Drosophila melanogaster: one gene and its partner. The protein of the gene in region 1 interacts with the protein of each later gene in a pairwise test. Each region holds a gene or a part of one and is shown on either strand. Other genes may lie near its edges.

Region 1 (8,234 bases):
GGATTTAGGAAGAAACAACAAGGGTTTTTTAAATTTTACATTACTGCAAACTTCAATCTAAAGCATTTGTTGTATTTTTTCTTTAGTCTTAATTTAATTTGATTTTAATTTACCACTAACTTTCGTTTCGTTTCTATTTTGTTCATTTGTTTTGTATGATTTCCCCTCGTCGGAATGTTGACCAAACAGGAGTACCAGCGGAAGCCCTGGCAATTCAATGTGCCCATACCCAGTACGCCATCCTATGTGCCAACCACCCGCGTCTCGTGGGACGACACGAAAATCTACGCGACCAGCAGTGTCTTGAATTCCACTGCCCCATCCGGGAGCAGCTGCCTCAATAGCAGCCTTGCCAACGGAGATGCCTACTACTGCACGGGCAGTAACCATGAGTGCTGCTCGGGCAACGATGTGGTGCTCATTAAGGTGGGCACTTGGTTTTCCACAGTTAAAAAGCGTAGCAGCCCGTTGGCCTTGAACTTTTTAAGTGCCCTCTGACATTTTAGCCACGAACTAGCTTTTGCATCGCGAACATCGTTACTTAACAAATATCAAATTAAGTTTAATACCCTTCATTAATATTGCTTTGCAAAAAATATTTTTATTTTCATATTATTATTTCTGTTGTTGAGAATTTTTTTCTCGTTGATTTCCAATTAACTTAGAAGAAAACTGGCCTCATTAATTTCAAAAAGTTGCACCTCCTAACGAGCCTCTTATCCTTTTCTGCAGGTTCGCCAGCCGCGCGGCAAGAGCCTGGAATCTTTGGAGGACATCCACGACAACAGCACGCGCAGCCATCTGACCTTCAGCCATTACACAACCACGGACTACGGCCACTTTGGGCCGCCGACAACAGCGGCGGCTGCAGCGGCAATGGCCGCAGCGGCCACACTGCAGCAGCAGCATCATCACCAGCAGCTGCTCCACCAGCAACAGCAGCAGGCAGCTGCCGCCCGTCTCCTGGGCAACAATGCGCCTGGCATTGGATGGCGGCGATCCTACGACGACGGCGACATCACACCCACCAACGATGCCACGAGGGAGCTGCTCTACGAGCAGGAGGGCGGCGGAACTCTGCCACGCCAGCAGCGTGGCATCCTGCAGCGGGCGGTGTTGAACACCATGCCGCCACTGGAGCACCATCACTACATGAATGCAGCGGCTGCGGCGGAGTACGGTGCGGCCAGCGGTGTGGAGGGTGGAGCGGTAAGTTGGGGTTCCACGAATCCTTAGAACACTTATCTGTGGTTGCCATAGTTGGTTATAATAGAAGGGACACCAAAGTGGCAACTGTGGATTTTAAACTGTTCTTACTAAGAGCTATCTTCTATTACAGAATTACATGGGCGGCAGTCCTTTGACGGGCAAGAAAATAGCTCCTGAGCCACCTAGACGCCACTGCAGCATACGCAACTCCCGCACGCTGAGCGGAGAGGGAGTGCCGTCGGGAGCGGCTGCGCAGGCGCATCAGCAGGCAGCCCAACAGCAGCAGGGCCAGCACATGTTCTACGGCCACACGGCGCAGCACTGGCAGCAGCAGCAGCAGCAGGCGGGTGCAGGTACTGGTCAGCAGCCGATCTACGCCAACTATGCCACCATACAACAGACAACGGCGGAGATACACTGTGAGAAGTATCACGACAGTAAGTCGACTTCCAGCATCGATTCGATTGACACGATACCATTTGCCAACGAGAACACTGGGACGATAAAACAGCGGCTGCTCAACCGCCAGGAGCTGCAGGGCGGCGGAGCGGGCAACAACAATGTACCCGGCGGCGGCCATCCCGCACACCTGCACTCCTCCAGCTCGAGCTCCAGCTCCTCCTCCACGAACACCATCGCGAATATAGCGCACTCGTTCCATTCGTTGAAATCTTCCAGTTCGCTGCACGATGCCACATTGGCGCGGAGTGAAAGCATGGGCAGCACAGCCAGCGGTGGAAGTGCCTTGCACCTGCGTTCACCCACATTGGATATGTCAAATGCCGGTGGATCAACGGCGGAGCCTGCAAGTTCGCCAGAAGCAGCCGTACCAACTGTGGCCATAAACAACGGCGTTCCGCCCAAAGTTTCGGTGAACGTTCTGAACGACATTGGCAATATGCTGGCCAATCTCACGGACGAGCTGGACGCCATGCTGGAGGAGGAGAAGCGAGTGGGCCTAAACATAGACAGTGAATAAATCTCCAATCAAACAACAAATCGTAGTGTAGCTGAATTTAGAAGTTGTGGTGTATCTTGTAATGTTTTATGTACTTCAACTTAGTTAAGTTCAATTTGTTTTTGTATTTCTTATTCCAATTGCGTGTGGAGAAGCATTTATATTGGATCGTATTCTGTATCATTTCGATATGCACACTGTGTAGTAAAAAGCAACTACAACTGAAAAGCTTTGGACAAACCATGTATACTTTTGTACTTTTCCTAAACTCTCCTCCCATTCCCGAAACTATGAGTGTTAACAATACAAAATGAAAATAACCAAGTAAAAGAATGGTAAATGAAGCGCAACATGCATATATGCAGAACTTGCATAGTTATTATATAGCATAAAATATATATAATTCGATATATAAATAAATATTTAAACGAAATCATTTATATGGACAAGTATTTAGTGGTTTGATACTATACGACAGAGGAGGAATCAACAAATAAACCACACGGCACACTCTTAAACAAACACAATGAAAGTCAGGCAAGAACTACTATTTAAAGATCCCATTCAGACAATTTCAAATTGTATTATTCTAGAATTTTGTACCTTAGTTCTTTGTTCATTTTTTTCAAATCACGCTGCACAGAAATGTTTCTTTTTGTTATGATTACAACTAAAATCAAACTATATGAAATGAATGTATAATTAAGTGTTATTCCATACAAAGTAAAAAGATGCATTATATAAAATATAAATCTTATATTAGCGTTAAATTAAGAAATCAAAAATAAAAGAAGGAAACGAATCCATCTTTATAAATTATGTTTAATCGGGCATTGATGCTGAATAACGTATGAAATTCCGTGGTATACAACTGAATTGCCTTCTTCTTTATAATTTACATAAATAAAAATCTTTTAGTGAAAATTTTGTTTTTTGAGAGTATTTTCGGTTTTCTGTTAATTGCGCTCAGTTAAAAATATGTTTGGTGCGCATATCATTAGAGGAAATTGGAGTATTCGATTTATAAACGCATATAAGGAAAAGTAAACAAATTAAATACGAAAAAATCACAAACATGTAAAGCACATAAAGGGCAAAACAAAAATGATGAAAACAAATAACAAATAAAGTAAACTTTCATAGTAAAATGTTTCTGGTTTTAATGCATATTTTGTTACTTAGTCAGACCTATTTATTTATATTTCATTAATACGTATTTAGCAACTTTAACAAAAATCCTTTTTGAAACAAAATTTTTTTAATTATTCATAACGTTACGAAGTGAATCAACTACGTAACGTGATGTGATGGTTATGTAGATGAGGCATATGACGTAATGGTAAGAGAAAATACCAAGCCCGCCAAGAGTAATTTTGAAGACTAATATGTTAACTTAGCATTTTTTTAAATATAAATTGTTACATTATCAAACTGGTGCAATGAAAATCAAACATTTTTTTAATTGTTTATTTTTCTTGAAAATAGTTGGCAACAATGCCAGCGTTGTAATGAAATATACCAATACAATAAAAATACCAAATGTTTATTTCAGCAACTGCTGGTCAGCATTTCACTATCTGGTAACACCGCGCTGCGGTCACACCGAATTCAGCTTCTCATTTCGTCGCGTCTGGACGCGTCTTTAATTTTTAGGATAGTTTAGCCTTTATAAGCGAGTTAATTAAATATCTTAGATGCCCCGAGCGAAGGAGAAGGTGAAAAGCCGCGTGCCCTGTCCACTTGTACCGTTCGTCTTGTTCACACTTAATGTAATCGCCATGTGTCCCTTTCCCTTTTCGCTTTTAACTTCGTTGTGAAACATAAGACGCAAAATGAAATATTTGTTTTAATACTGCTGCTGTACCCGCATAGCAAATTGCCAGTTAAAATTGCCAACACCAATTTACATAATATTATAGAAAAAAACACAGAAAAAAAAAAGAAAAACAAAACACACAAGCAAATTGATAGTCGTGGGATGTGTCTGTGTAGCAACGAGATCAAATAGTGAAATGCAAAAGCGTTTTTCAATTGAAAAGCGGGCTGCAGAAAAGTGAAAATTAACGCGTTTAGCGATATATTTGCATTTGGAACGAATTCAGTGAAAACCAGTAAAAATGTCGAGTGCAGAAGACGGCGAGCTGGATCCCCAAATTCAGGTGATTTTCCTTCGGCAATTTGCCTGCTGTCCTTCCTATTTTCTCCCCCTCTCTCTCTCATTGTATGCCTCTCTCTTTCGTACCTGGCACTGAATGGAACGGTATTTTAATGACAATAACAATATTCAGGCTGCTTTGTTTTTGGTTTGCTTGCTAGTTCTCTCTATCACCTGCTCTTCTTTGCAGTGCAGTTTTTGTTGGTACAGTGCATACCCGATTCGGTGAATTGTGAAGACCGAGGGTATCCACTGTACCAAAGTGATAAATGTGCACCTAGATTTTCATACAAAAATATGTTTACAACTTACAAGCAAAAAACATAGAGCACTGTATTTTGGAAATAGGAAACAGGCGTTTTTGCATTGCATTTCGTTACTCATTTATTGCGTGAACCTTTTTTACGCTTTGTTGGTTTTCAAAAACGATACAACAGCAAAAACCAACACAGAAAATCAATTTACGAGCCATTTAAGCAAATTGCAAGTTTCCTTTTCCGACGAACTATTCAATATGCATTGTAAAACCGAAAACAATACAAAGTGCAGGAAAAAAGGGATCACAAAGGGTGTCAAATAATCCCACGCACTTCCAAGTAAACTGGTTTTTTTTTTCTTTTTACCCGCAACGGATTTGAACTCGGTACCTAAATGAGATTCAAGTGCAACTTGGTTATTGCTCTTTATCTTTCGCCCCTTCTTCTTTGCTCATCTCTTCGCATTTTTGGGAGAGAGGAGGAGGTATGCATACAAATTTAATAAATGGAAATACCAAAGCGCACACGCAAGCCAAAGCAGCAACAACAAAAAACAAACACGCCTTTGTTTCTATTTCGAGTATTTTATATATTATTGTGTAAGCCAGACAATTGAAAAGTGTCTTGAAGCGCAAGTCGCAGTTTTTGCATAAATCAAGATTCATATGCTGCTCATTCAACTGCGCAAAATAGTCGCACACTCGCCTAATAGCCTTAAATGGGCAGGAAATAATACGAGTCTGTAAAAATAAAAACTCAAATCGGATGAGTATAGTGAAAAACACAATGTTTCCAAACCGTGATCAATAGGAGAATATATTTATGTATATGAGTATATAAGTATAAAATGGTTATTCAAGTTAAAAACACCTTTATCCAGGGCGATCAATCGAATGGTACGTCCATTGTGAGAATACCCCCTACATAGACAAAGGAAAATCCCGGTGTAGACCTACAATAATTCCTATTTTTAAATGCAAAACTTAGTGGGAGAGACGCCACACGCGGCGCAAAGTCATTAACAACAATTTGATTTCGAACCCAGAAGACAGACGGCATGTGACTAGATTGGATTCGTCGATAATGTCCGAAAGTACATATGTATAGGTATGGGAAAATGTGTAGGAGATATTCACTTTGTCTATAAACAATCTTTAGTGCGGCTCTATAAACCAAATACAAAACTGTACCGAAACCGGTTAAGAATTCTACGAAAAACCGCATGCTACATTATACAAAAAAACGCGAAATATTTTGCTCCGCCTATTTTTGCCTTCTTTCTCAATGTTTTTATGCTCGACTTCCTCTTTCGACAAGTCGACTTTGTTGTTTTTTTGCCTTCGATTTGCCAATGATTTATCAATGAGCATTTGGCGTTCTTCTTTTTTTTTTATTTTGCGCGTGCAAAATTTCTTATCTAAAGAGATGTTTTCAAGTTGATGACGCCAAACAATAGACAAAGAATAGGCACCGCGTCGATGTCGCAAAGTCTATTTAACCAAAAACGTGTGTCCTAACAGATGTTTTTTGTAAACAATTCCACACGCGTCAGTTAACTTAAAAATATGGTCATTTGCGTGCTACGGATTTGTTTTTCGAGCCCCAAACTTTCTAATCTCATACCAATCCACATCAAAGCGTCACTTATCGATTAGATGATAATTGCTTTATTAAAAAAACAAAGGGGCCTTTTTTTACGATAGAAATTAGTGAGAAAAGCTTTGTAGCAATTTAAAAATAAATTAGTAGCCTTGCCCCATTTGATAATTAGATTAGCAAGGGAAACTTTATGTGCAGGTGAATTTGATAAAAAATTATAAATGACTAATGAAGTCGGCTATCTCTGGTCTCAGTTACGTAAGCAAGGTGAGAGTACGGGTATCGCGAATTAGAGAACTCGATCCAGGCGTCTATGAATCAGAAAATCGTGTCCGAAAAGTGAGTCAACGTCTACTCTATATATGTAAAAATATACCGTAAAGGTGTCTCCCAAAAGTGTATATGATATTCTTTATGCTTATCTTTTATTGCGAATACGAACTTGTGCTTATATCGCAAGATTATTTATGTGCATACAATACAAAGTTCATAACCAGTCCCGATAAAAACTGCATTTAATACTACATAGCACTCTTCATATTTGATGAATAAGTTTGCTCTCATTTATTTATTATTGAGTTTACTTTTTATTTTGTTTGCGCTTCCAAAACAATTACAACTTTCTCTGATCAAAAAAAAAAAAATCTCAAGTGGCAGCGGTGGGATTCGAACCCACGCCTCCGAGGAGACTGGTGCCTTAAACCAGCGCCTTAGACCGCTCGGCCACGCTACCCATAATCATCGCTGGTCATAAGCGCTTCTGATCGCAAGTGCTATATTTATATTTACCATTTTTATAGCAAAAATAACAAAAACAATTGTAGGAAACAATAATAAATACTTAAAAAGCAGCTGGGATTGCACTTTCATAAACAAACTGTCTCTTTCAGAAGGTTTATTTTCTCAATTAACTGGAGGTTTTGTAACCTTTTGGTCGAGTGCAATCCCCCGGGTTTCCTTAACCATCAGTATCATCACCAATTATCATCATCATCATTATCATTATAGTCGATGGCGCACAACACAGTTGCTACTTTCGAAGAGCGGTTACCGCACTCAATTTTCCATGCATTTTCAGCCTTAATGAATTCAGTTTGGATCGGCTTTGTTTTGGTCGTCGGAATTGTTAATGACATTCAATGATTGCGCTTGTTTATGTAGTTGAACTTAGGCAGTCATTTCCTGCTTTATCAAATCAGCAGAGATACGATTTTCAGAGGCAATCTTATCAGTCATGAACTTGTACTTGCATTAACAACTATTAGATTTCTATAGACTCAAAATGAGTTTGGTTGACCTTTGATCTGAATTGCTTGGTCATAAAGAGAAAGTCGAGAATTTGAGTTAGCATAGCAATTGAAAATAATTTGTTCAAAGTGGGTCAGGCACACGAGAGTTCCACACAAAAAAAAAAAAAACATCATATTCAACACAGAAGTTTATCGTTTTATACGAAGTTGACATAACTCTAATTAAAAAAGCAAAAACTTTATGCGGTCAATTGCAATTGTCAAGCTACGTTGACTTAATTTTCGGGTCGTCAGACATTCACTCACGCATCGCCGTTGAGTTTTCTTTTATATAACCATCTTTTTGACCTACCAGCCAAGACTTTCTCAGCAGTTCCACTTTGGTTAGTTTTCCCCTTGGCTTGCGGTTTTTTACATACAATTGTCGCATTATTTTCGGCCGATGACGTCTATTTCCGCTTGAGTTGAATGTCCTACGAGTTCCTGAGGCTTCCTTCTTTTTTTTTTTTTGTTGTTGCGCAAGTCAAGTCGATGTGGGTTTGCATTACAGCTCCTCCATTGCGATTATGCCCAAGTCTGGCCAGGAAAGTGGGGTGGTTCTGGCAGGAGCTGGGGACAAAGCTGTCACCAGCAGATGTAGGTCAGGTCGACCTATTCGGCATCACGCCACCGGCACAAAGGGCAGCTGGCGTCATTGCGGAACTGGCGGAACTGCGAGCGGAACAGGAGGGAGTGTCGTGGCCAAATGGGTGTCCAAAGTAGGGAGTATATTGTGGAAAGTGGCTGGGACAAGCGAATAAGCTTAT
Region 2 (8,234 bases), on another chromosome or scaffold:
ACTCCGATTCGGATCTGCCCGAAGATATGGACGCTAAGGATGAGGCCGGAGCTGCAGCCGCAGCTAGCAAGCGTAGCAAGAATGCTAAGCAACAGAAGAGCACTTACATTCGCGAGGATCCCGATGAGATAGTCGATTTGGCCGATCTCAAGTCCATTGGCAATGTGCTGAGTAAGTTGAAGTCGTTTGAAAATCGCACAAATCATCACTTTTTTTGTTTCTTTGCCTTTGCCCCACTCCAGCCAGTGGCTCCGCTCAAACGGCCACCCCTGCCCAGAGTCAAAAGACGAAAGCTCAGCTGCCGAACGGTGGCTTCAAGACTGCCGACGATGGACGCCTGATCATCAGCGACAAGGCACTTCGTGGCCAGGGCGGTAACGATCAGTCCGATGACGACTCGGATTCCGATGCATCCATGGCGTATGGCACTGTAGCCAAGCAGCCCAAGGTTAAGCGTGGCATGGAAGACGATTCGAGCGACGAAGATAAACTGCAGCAGAAGCTAGTACCCAAGCGTGTACGCAAGGGTGATGATGCGATGAGCATGAAATCGGGCAAAACCACTGCCAGTAGTCGCTACACTGCCGGTGGCAAGGGCATTCATCGACAGCTGACAGCTGGAAACTCGGATGCCATGTCCGTGAAGTCAGGCAAATCCACCAGCCGCCCAGCGGGCAGTGAGTACGGCAGCAAGAAGGCCAAGGGTGATATGAAGAAGAGCGGAAAACTGGATCCATATGCGTATATACCACTCACTAGGAATAACCTGAACAAGAGGTGTGTATCCAAAATGTTTAATATTATTAATATACCCGTCCCTATCTAATACTCCATCTCTTTCGCCCCCAGAAAACGTTCAATGAATTCGCGAAAATTCAAGAGCGTATTGCGAGGAGCTGGCGCTGAAAATGGAGGAGCCGGCGGTGGCCGGGTGTCCAAGAAATACAAATAGGGCAGACGATTCAAGCCAACTGGCTAACAGGCTCGTAAAGCTATAGAGATATAGAGATGTATAATAACACTGGGATAGTGCGGTCTGTTGATAAGGAAGCTAAGACGTTGATGATTATTTCCCCTGTTACTTTGCTTAAATATATAAATATAACTTAATATATATATATGAACATGTGGAGACGTTGTAAATGCCACAGATAAAGAAAAACAGAAACAGAATAGTTATGTATTTTTTTTTTTTTTTGTTTTGATCTGCAAAGACTTTGAATAAAGAATTTTGAAAGCAACATAGTTCGATGCGTGGCAGAAAGAAGAGCAGTAACGTTAGATTAAATCCACACAAGCTTTATGTTCTTTAAAGATATAGTAAATATGACTATTTATTATCGCAAATGCCAGAGTCAAAATACAGATTGGTAGAATATTAGCCAATTAGGTTATTCTACAAAAGAGGAAAGTCTTCGAACGAGATAGTTGCGTCAAGAAGTTGCGTCATCCTGTCCGTGGTCAAACGCCGTTTTGAAAATCCTTTTCAATGTGGGTCTTGTTCCATTCGCCGTGCGGATCCAATCCAGTCATTGTCTCCTCAATGAAGTGCATCTTATTCTCGCTGTCCACCAGGACAACGGAGTGTGTACGGCTGCCATAGGCATGCTCTTCGATATGGACGTTTAGGGAACTCAATCCCTCGCCCCAGTTGGGCGCACGTGTCTTTAGCTCGTCGTCCGGCCAGAATTTGTGCTTGTTGCGGAGCAACTGCATCAGCTGGGCGGACAGAGTCTCCACGCTGGCTTCCCCATGAGCCTTAACGATCGCCTCGAACTCCTGTTTGCCATGACGCACCTTCTCGAACGGAGAGTGCGGCAGACTGTTGCCAAATCCGTAGCACTCGCCGTTCTGGAAATCCTCCAGCGTGGGCGGCACATTGCTCAGCAGCTTCACGCGAGCGGGCTGGGATGCAGATCTGTTGAGAACGAAGGCGTGCAGTAGATGGTATCAATGTTTCGCTAATGGTTCCCTAATGTTATTGCATATTATTCAGAATTTATACGTATAATTCGGAGATAAAGACAGCATAAAGCAATATATGTACATACTAATATGCATATAATTAGAATATATAATAATTCAGGTTAACCTGAATGGGCGCAGACTCACCCAATTTCGATGGACACAAAGTTGAAGGCAGAATACTTGGTGCAATCTTTGAGCAGCCTTTCGTTGTAGTTCAGGATGCTGTGCTCCTCGTCCGCCCGGGTAACATAGTCCGCCACAATCATGCCGCGCCCTAGTAAGAAATGTTCGTTATTCGATTGCCCCCTACTCGGATTCGTATTCGGGTTCTGAATTGGATTCGGATTCGGATGACGGTAGCTGTTGGAGGTGGTGGTCTTGGGGCAAAGGTTAATGCCGGTGCTGTTGCTGTTGTGATTATGCGGTTGCAAAATGTTTTTGTGCGCTTCAAACAGAAAACAGAAACGAAGAAAGTTTGTTTTTGCTTTGCTTTTTCTTTGGTCGCGGTTGTGAAAGTTTTAGTTCGGGCCAAGTGTTAGGTGTATGGATGAGTGTGTGTGCGTGTGTGTGCGCGTCAATTTGGATTAGTAAGTAGCTCAAATGGGTTTACCAACTGCATCGCGTGGCTTGGGCTCGCCGGTCAGATTGAGCAGGGCGCCCACCTTAAAGAAGCCAGCGGAGTGGCCGATCGCCAGCCAGGTGCCGCCCTCGCGTCCCGGCTCCAGATCGATCCCTGAAATGGGGGAATACATAAATATTTACTCAAGTTGATCCCGCACTCATGGGTAAGATGGCTTGAAATCCAATTAGGTTGCTGGGAAACAGATCTTGTGAGAGGTGTTCATTCTAACAAACTGCTATCAAATCATCTTAGTGACTAAACTATAGGTAACATCTTGATGAATACAAGCTCTCAAGGATTATACTCCATCTAAGCATAGGCATTCAAGGGCATAAGCCCCACCACTTACCTCCGTAAACATGATCGGCATTCGCCCACTTGGCTGCCGATAGGGTGGCGCGGGCAAAGAACTCGTCCCGATTGGAGGCCAGGATGAGCTTGTAGCCACCCGGTTGCGGATTCGAGTCCGCACAAAAGAATATCACGCACATCGTCGGAATCCTATACTTATTTGGCTATTGTTGCGATTTGTAGTGCCTTGAGGTTGTGGGACAACTGCGAATGGGATCCGGAAAAGTGGGCTTTAATCTCGGTGGGGCGTCGGTATCAAAATGGCAGGTTGTTCGGCTCAGTCTTCTCTTTGTTACTTTGTGGCAGTGGAACTATAGCGCCGGTTTTATCACCAAATAGCCGTACGTACGTACAGCTGATATACAGTCTTATCCGTTGTTTGCGAGACCAGCTAATCTAAGTGGTAAATGTAAATGGTTTGGATTGGTGGGTGTTCTCTGTGAGCCGTGCCTCTATGTGATATATACATATCTACGGGGCAAAAAGCATTCCCGTTAACGCAAACAAAGCAGTATTTTCTGAAATTTCAATGACCGGGTTGCCTTGTTTTGATTTCTCTTTTAATTTTGTTTTTGTTTTGTTTTGGCGTTGCCAGCTGACAGGAGAATCGATAAGAAAATCGTTAACACTCTGCTGCCCTGTGCAATATTCTTTTAGCTATTTTATTAATTGCTAATTATTTATTTGTGCAGTCTATGACTTATCTTAATTTGTACTTTTAAATTTGAAGATTTTAGTTCCTCATCGTGCGCTGAAACAATGATTGACCAATATGATTGTGTAATTTATTTCCAAAGCCATATATAACGTATATATAAACATATTAGTTTTTTTTGTCGCCTGTGCCGATCCAGATAACAAACTACTATTTTGAAATTGGCGTAACAGGTAGGTAGGCATTATCGCCAGTTGCCCATCTCTATTGTATGACCGTGGGCCCGGCAATCGATTGGCTTACAACTTATCGATGTTTGAAAACTAACCAAAAACCCTGTAACATAGGCTTGTAATTAAAACTAGAAAATACCATTACATAGCTATGCACTGCAATGCATAAATTAACTAACAGACCTATACAGGCCCTTAAATTGGTAAGAAAACTGATCGCTAAAATTAAAGCGAAAGAGTGGATTTTTTAGGACAAAAATACCGGTCGGTCGAGAACATTTGGGGGGAAAATCATGTCGCCATCTGGTAACACTGGCATTCAGCAGAGCAGTGAAAACGACGTTAATATTTCTGATCAATTAAACAATTGGAAAATCCGGCCGCAGATCGCGATCTAAACGTATCGCCCTCGCCACGCCCACTGCCGCCCACGCCCCCTGGCGCGGGGTCACATCGATAGAGAGCTTTGCGTGTGTGTGTGTGTGCGTGCGTGTATGTGTCGGTCGAGAGGAGAGGTGGAAGACGAAGAAGAATAAAAAAAACAGGCAGCGAAAAGCGATAAGAAACGGAACACAACACACTGGAAAAAAATTGCGATAAGAAACGGGGCGGAGCGGAGCGGAAATTGCCAAGACTCTGGGATGGATTAGCGGCACAGCCGGACTCTGAGGTTAGCCAACAGTGGGATTAGGACCAGGAACAGCCATGTCCTCCGCCGTTAACATCCAGATCGTCTCTATGCCGAATCTGGCCAAGATCGAGAGCTTCCTGAAGGATGTCAGCTACCGGGAGACGATCGAGTACAGTGCCAACTTCAACACGCGCCTGTGCAGCGAACGGCGCCACCGGCTGCCCTTCCTCGATCCGCAGACAGGCGTCGCCCAGAACCACTCGCAGCTCTTCCTGGACAAGCGACAGCGGATGCCCGGCTTCCGGCAGGGCCAGATCTACACGTATCCGGCGGCCCGCTGGCGGAAGAGCCGTCGTCAGTACTTGAGCAAGATGTACAGGTGAGGAATCGTAACCAATCGGTGCGGGATTTGAGTGACTGGCACATGCACAAGGAAAAGTTAGGTATAACTCTGGCGAAGCAAATTAGAGCTTGGAAATCTAGGAGTCTGTTACCTATGGTAATCTTATTTAAAACGAGTTAGGTTAGAAGAATATCATCTGTGTATATGCCATTCAATCTCATCAAATCCTACATTTTTCGTTGGGTGAGCTCCATATTTATCCCTGCTAATAACGAACTTTCCACTTATACAGCCGCTTTCCCGAGCGTCCCTTCCAGGCGCTACGCAAGGAGCACGAAGCTCTGGTGGCCAGCGGCGTCAATCTGGGACTGAGCAGCCTGACCAGCGGTGTGGGCTCCATGCCCGGCAGCAATAGCCTGGCCAGCAGCTCCTCCCTAACGCTCAATATGCTTACGGGCGGCGGAGCCGCGCCGGCCGTACTTGGTTCCCTGCACAGTGACACTGCCCACGATTTTAATGGAGCCTTCAGCCTGGAGGAGTCCAGCTCGCTGGGTGCCGCCGGCGGTGATACATCCGACAGCAAGGACAGTCAACAGCAACAACATCAGCAGCACCAGCACCAGCAGCAGGCCGTCAAAGAGGAGCTTTTGCCCAAGGAGTGGTTCTACGATGACATGGATATGAACGATGTGGACTCGCTGGAGGAGCCCAAATCGCCGGCGGATGATGAGTACGATTATGATCCGCGCTATGGTAACAAAAAAAGGCGCAAGCGGCGACCAGGCAAGCGAGGTGGAGATTCCGGCGGCGGTGGTGGTGGAGGAGGCGCCGGCGGTGGCGGCAATTCCGGCGGTAGCTCCAGCTCGCGGAGACGCAGTGCAGCGGCCAGGTCGCGTATCACAACGACGGATGCGGCGCTGGACGCATCGCTGGAGGCCATTGAATCTGGCGAGAGTGTGCCAGGCAGCAATGGAGGACCAATCTCCAGCGGAGGCATCCTAAGCGGCAGCCTGGGAGCAGGCTTAGCGGGAGTTTCGGGATCCGGCGGCGGAGGAGGAGCATCGGGAGCTTCGGCCAACAGCCGCAGATCGCGGGGAGCGGGAACACGTGGCAGGCGACGAGCCAAGGGGCCAAATAGCGCCGTTGGAGCGTCTTGCGATCCGACAAGTCCCGGCATGGTCATCGAGCCACCATCCTTCGAGAGTGCCGCTGCTGCGGTGGGCGTGGTCGAGGACGCGAACGCCCATCTGCGCAACTATCGGAAGTATCTGTAACCGCTCTATCAGCAACTAACTGGACGTGTAATCAATCAAAGCCTTGTTTTTCGCAATGTTTTCTCGCCTATTGAATCGACCTACTTTTTCGCACATAATTTAAATATAGTTTTTAAGCCTTAGTTGATCACTGTTTGTTGCCCCCCTCCGACAAAAGGATAAAAGCCAAGCAAGAAATGAAAGAAAGGAAACAAATACATTGTGGACCAGGGACAGAAACAGGATTAGAATCAGGATAACGATCAGAACCGCGCACCAGGCCGTAGCCAATACAATTCCAATGTTTCGCCTCTCTTAACTTTACGTTCCCATAGCCAATTGATTGTTGTTTTTTAAACTAGCAATGGACTGGTGAACTTCTACTATAGGATAACTTGAGCGGAAACTTATGGATGTAGCAAATATTCTTCGAGCAATTTTGTAATGTAGGAAACCCTTTAGGCCATCAATTATTAACGTTGTATAAGTTAGACAATGAATTTAAAAAGAACCTTTTTCGTCATCGTTAGGCAATTCGTAATCAATTATTTTCGGGCATCATCTATGCCATAAGTGAAACAGCACAATTTGAACTATGTATAGTTTTGCAATACACGACTATATTTCACATCTGGTTTCCGAAGTTTTGCTTAGAGCAGTTCGCCAGACCATTGCATTATATTGTACATTATATATATGGGTGTACAGACATTATATACATATATATATATATACATACTTGCATGCATTGTATTTGCGACTCTACTTAAGGCAAGTCCACCTTTTGGACTGGCTCTCCACCTAATCGCAATCTCTCGGTTTCTGTTGCTGCATGTTCTTAATACTATTTCACCTAGCTCCCCACCCCTCCCCACATATTATATTCAATTTTTTTTATTTAACCAAAATTTTAGTTAAAAAAGAGACAATTCAGATTGTAATCTATTTAGGCAAGTGGTAGGGTATCTCTAGCATTAGAAGAAGCTAAAAGTAAAAACAATTTCGTAAAACCAAAATTTTTTCTCTAGGATCATAATTATTAAGCTGAGCTAAAAACGAAAACAAATTTTAACTAACTAAGAAGGGACAAAATTGAAATAAGATCAAAAAAGGAAAACATGTACATTTTGGAAGAAAAATCAAAGTCCACAAAATTTTAACGAATGAGAGGCAAAAAATCAGACAAAAATGAACCACAAGAGAATGAAAAAAAAAAACAAAAATGGAAATAGGTTTCTAAGATGTTTTAATATATTTTGTAATAACAATGCTCGAGTATTTTTCATGTATGTAGTTTTTGATCCAAAATTGAGCGATCAACAAAGGCAAAGGGGTTCTCAACGATCGGTTCCTCGAGAGGATTTGCCAATCATCGATCATAGGGCTCTATTGCTGAACGCTTTGTTTTGGGCACAACTACCTCCTCCGCTTGGCACCGGCAGTAGCCTCGTCTGTGGAGGATCTGGTGGTCCGCTTCCGTTTCTGGCTGCTAGGGGGCTTATCTTCGGCAACTTCTTCTTGGGATTCGGATGCCTTTGCCTGCTTCTTTTGGGCTTTCGGTTGTCTCTTCGTTTTGACCAACTCTTTGGATTGCTTCGCTTCCTTTGAATCGACTTGAGTTGGCTCTTCCTCGGATTTCTGTTCCTTTTTGGATTTACGCGAAGTTGAAGTTGAAGTTGGTGCCTTCGTTTTTGATAAAAACAATATTTAGTTAATTTTTTCTGGACTTATTGGGCCTTCCCTACCTCGTTTTCCTGTGCTTCCTCTGTGGACTCCGACTTCTTTGGCGATGCTAGAGCCTCGGACCCCGGTAAATCAATTTTAGATAACTTCTGCGTGTTGATCTGTTCCTTGGACTCCTGCTGGTCACCTAGAATCCCTACAATCCGATCGTATACCTCCTCCACAGTGGGAAACTTGCGAGCACGTGGTGGACCCCGCTTTAGACCCGACCAAAGTGCCACCTGCTCCTGCTTTCCCATTCCGCCGGCGCTCAAACTTAACTCGAAGGCTCCTCGCCGTGGTGCTCCAAGTGCATTCAGCTGGAGCTGAAGCTGTTGGAGACCACGCTCCCGGAGAGCGGAGTGCAGCTCCTCCGCTCGACGACGAAAGACTCGTCAGGATCGGCAGTGCTCTACGTAGAGCACCGGCGCATTGGGATCCAGCTCTTCGCCTGCA

The links.
Region 2: the proteins of pcs (region 1) and tth interact in a two-hybrid assay, tested with the Drosophila melanogaster proteins (one large-scale study listed by BioGRID).

The regions. Positions count from the first base shown.
Region 1 is NT_033778.4:14,977,498-14,985,731, forward strand, and holds the start of pcs (parcas), read left to right. Parts: upstream 1-3,765; 5' UTR 3,766-4,284; coding exon 4,285-4,326; intron 4,327-6,829; exon of another isoform or gene 6,830-6,911; intron 6,912-8,234. Other genes in the region: ckn (caskin), read left to right, coding at 190-426, 733-1,209, 1,340-2,188.
Region 2 is NC_004354.4:13,612,281-13,620,514, reverse strand, and holds tth (toothrin), read left to right. Parts: upstream 1-3,928; 5' UTR 3,929-4,534; coding exon 4,535-4,839; intron 4,840-5,095; coding exon 5,096-6,077; 3' UTR 6,078-7,322; downstream 7,323-8,234. Other genes in the region: CG2691 (uncharacterized protein), read left to right, coding at 1-171, 243-777, 850-952; Tango2 (transport and golgi organization 2), read right to left, coding at 1,462-1,918, 2,113-2,413, 2,579-2,701, 2,940-3,081.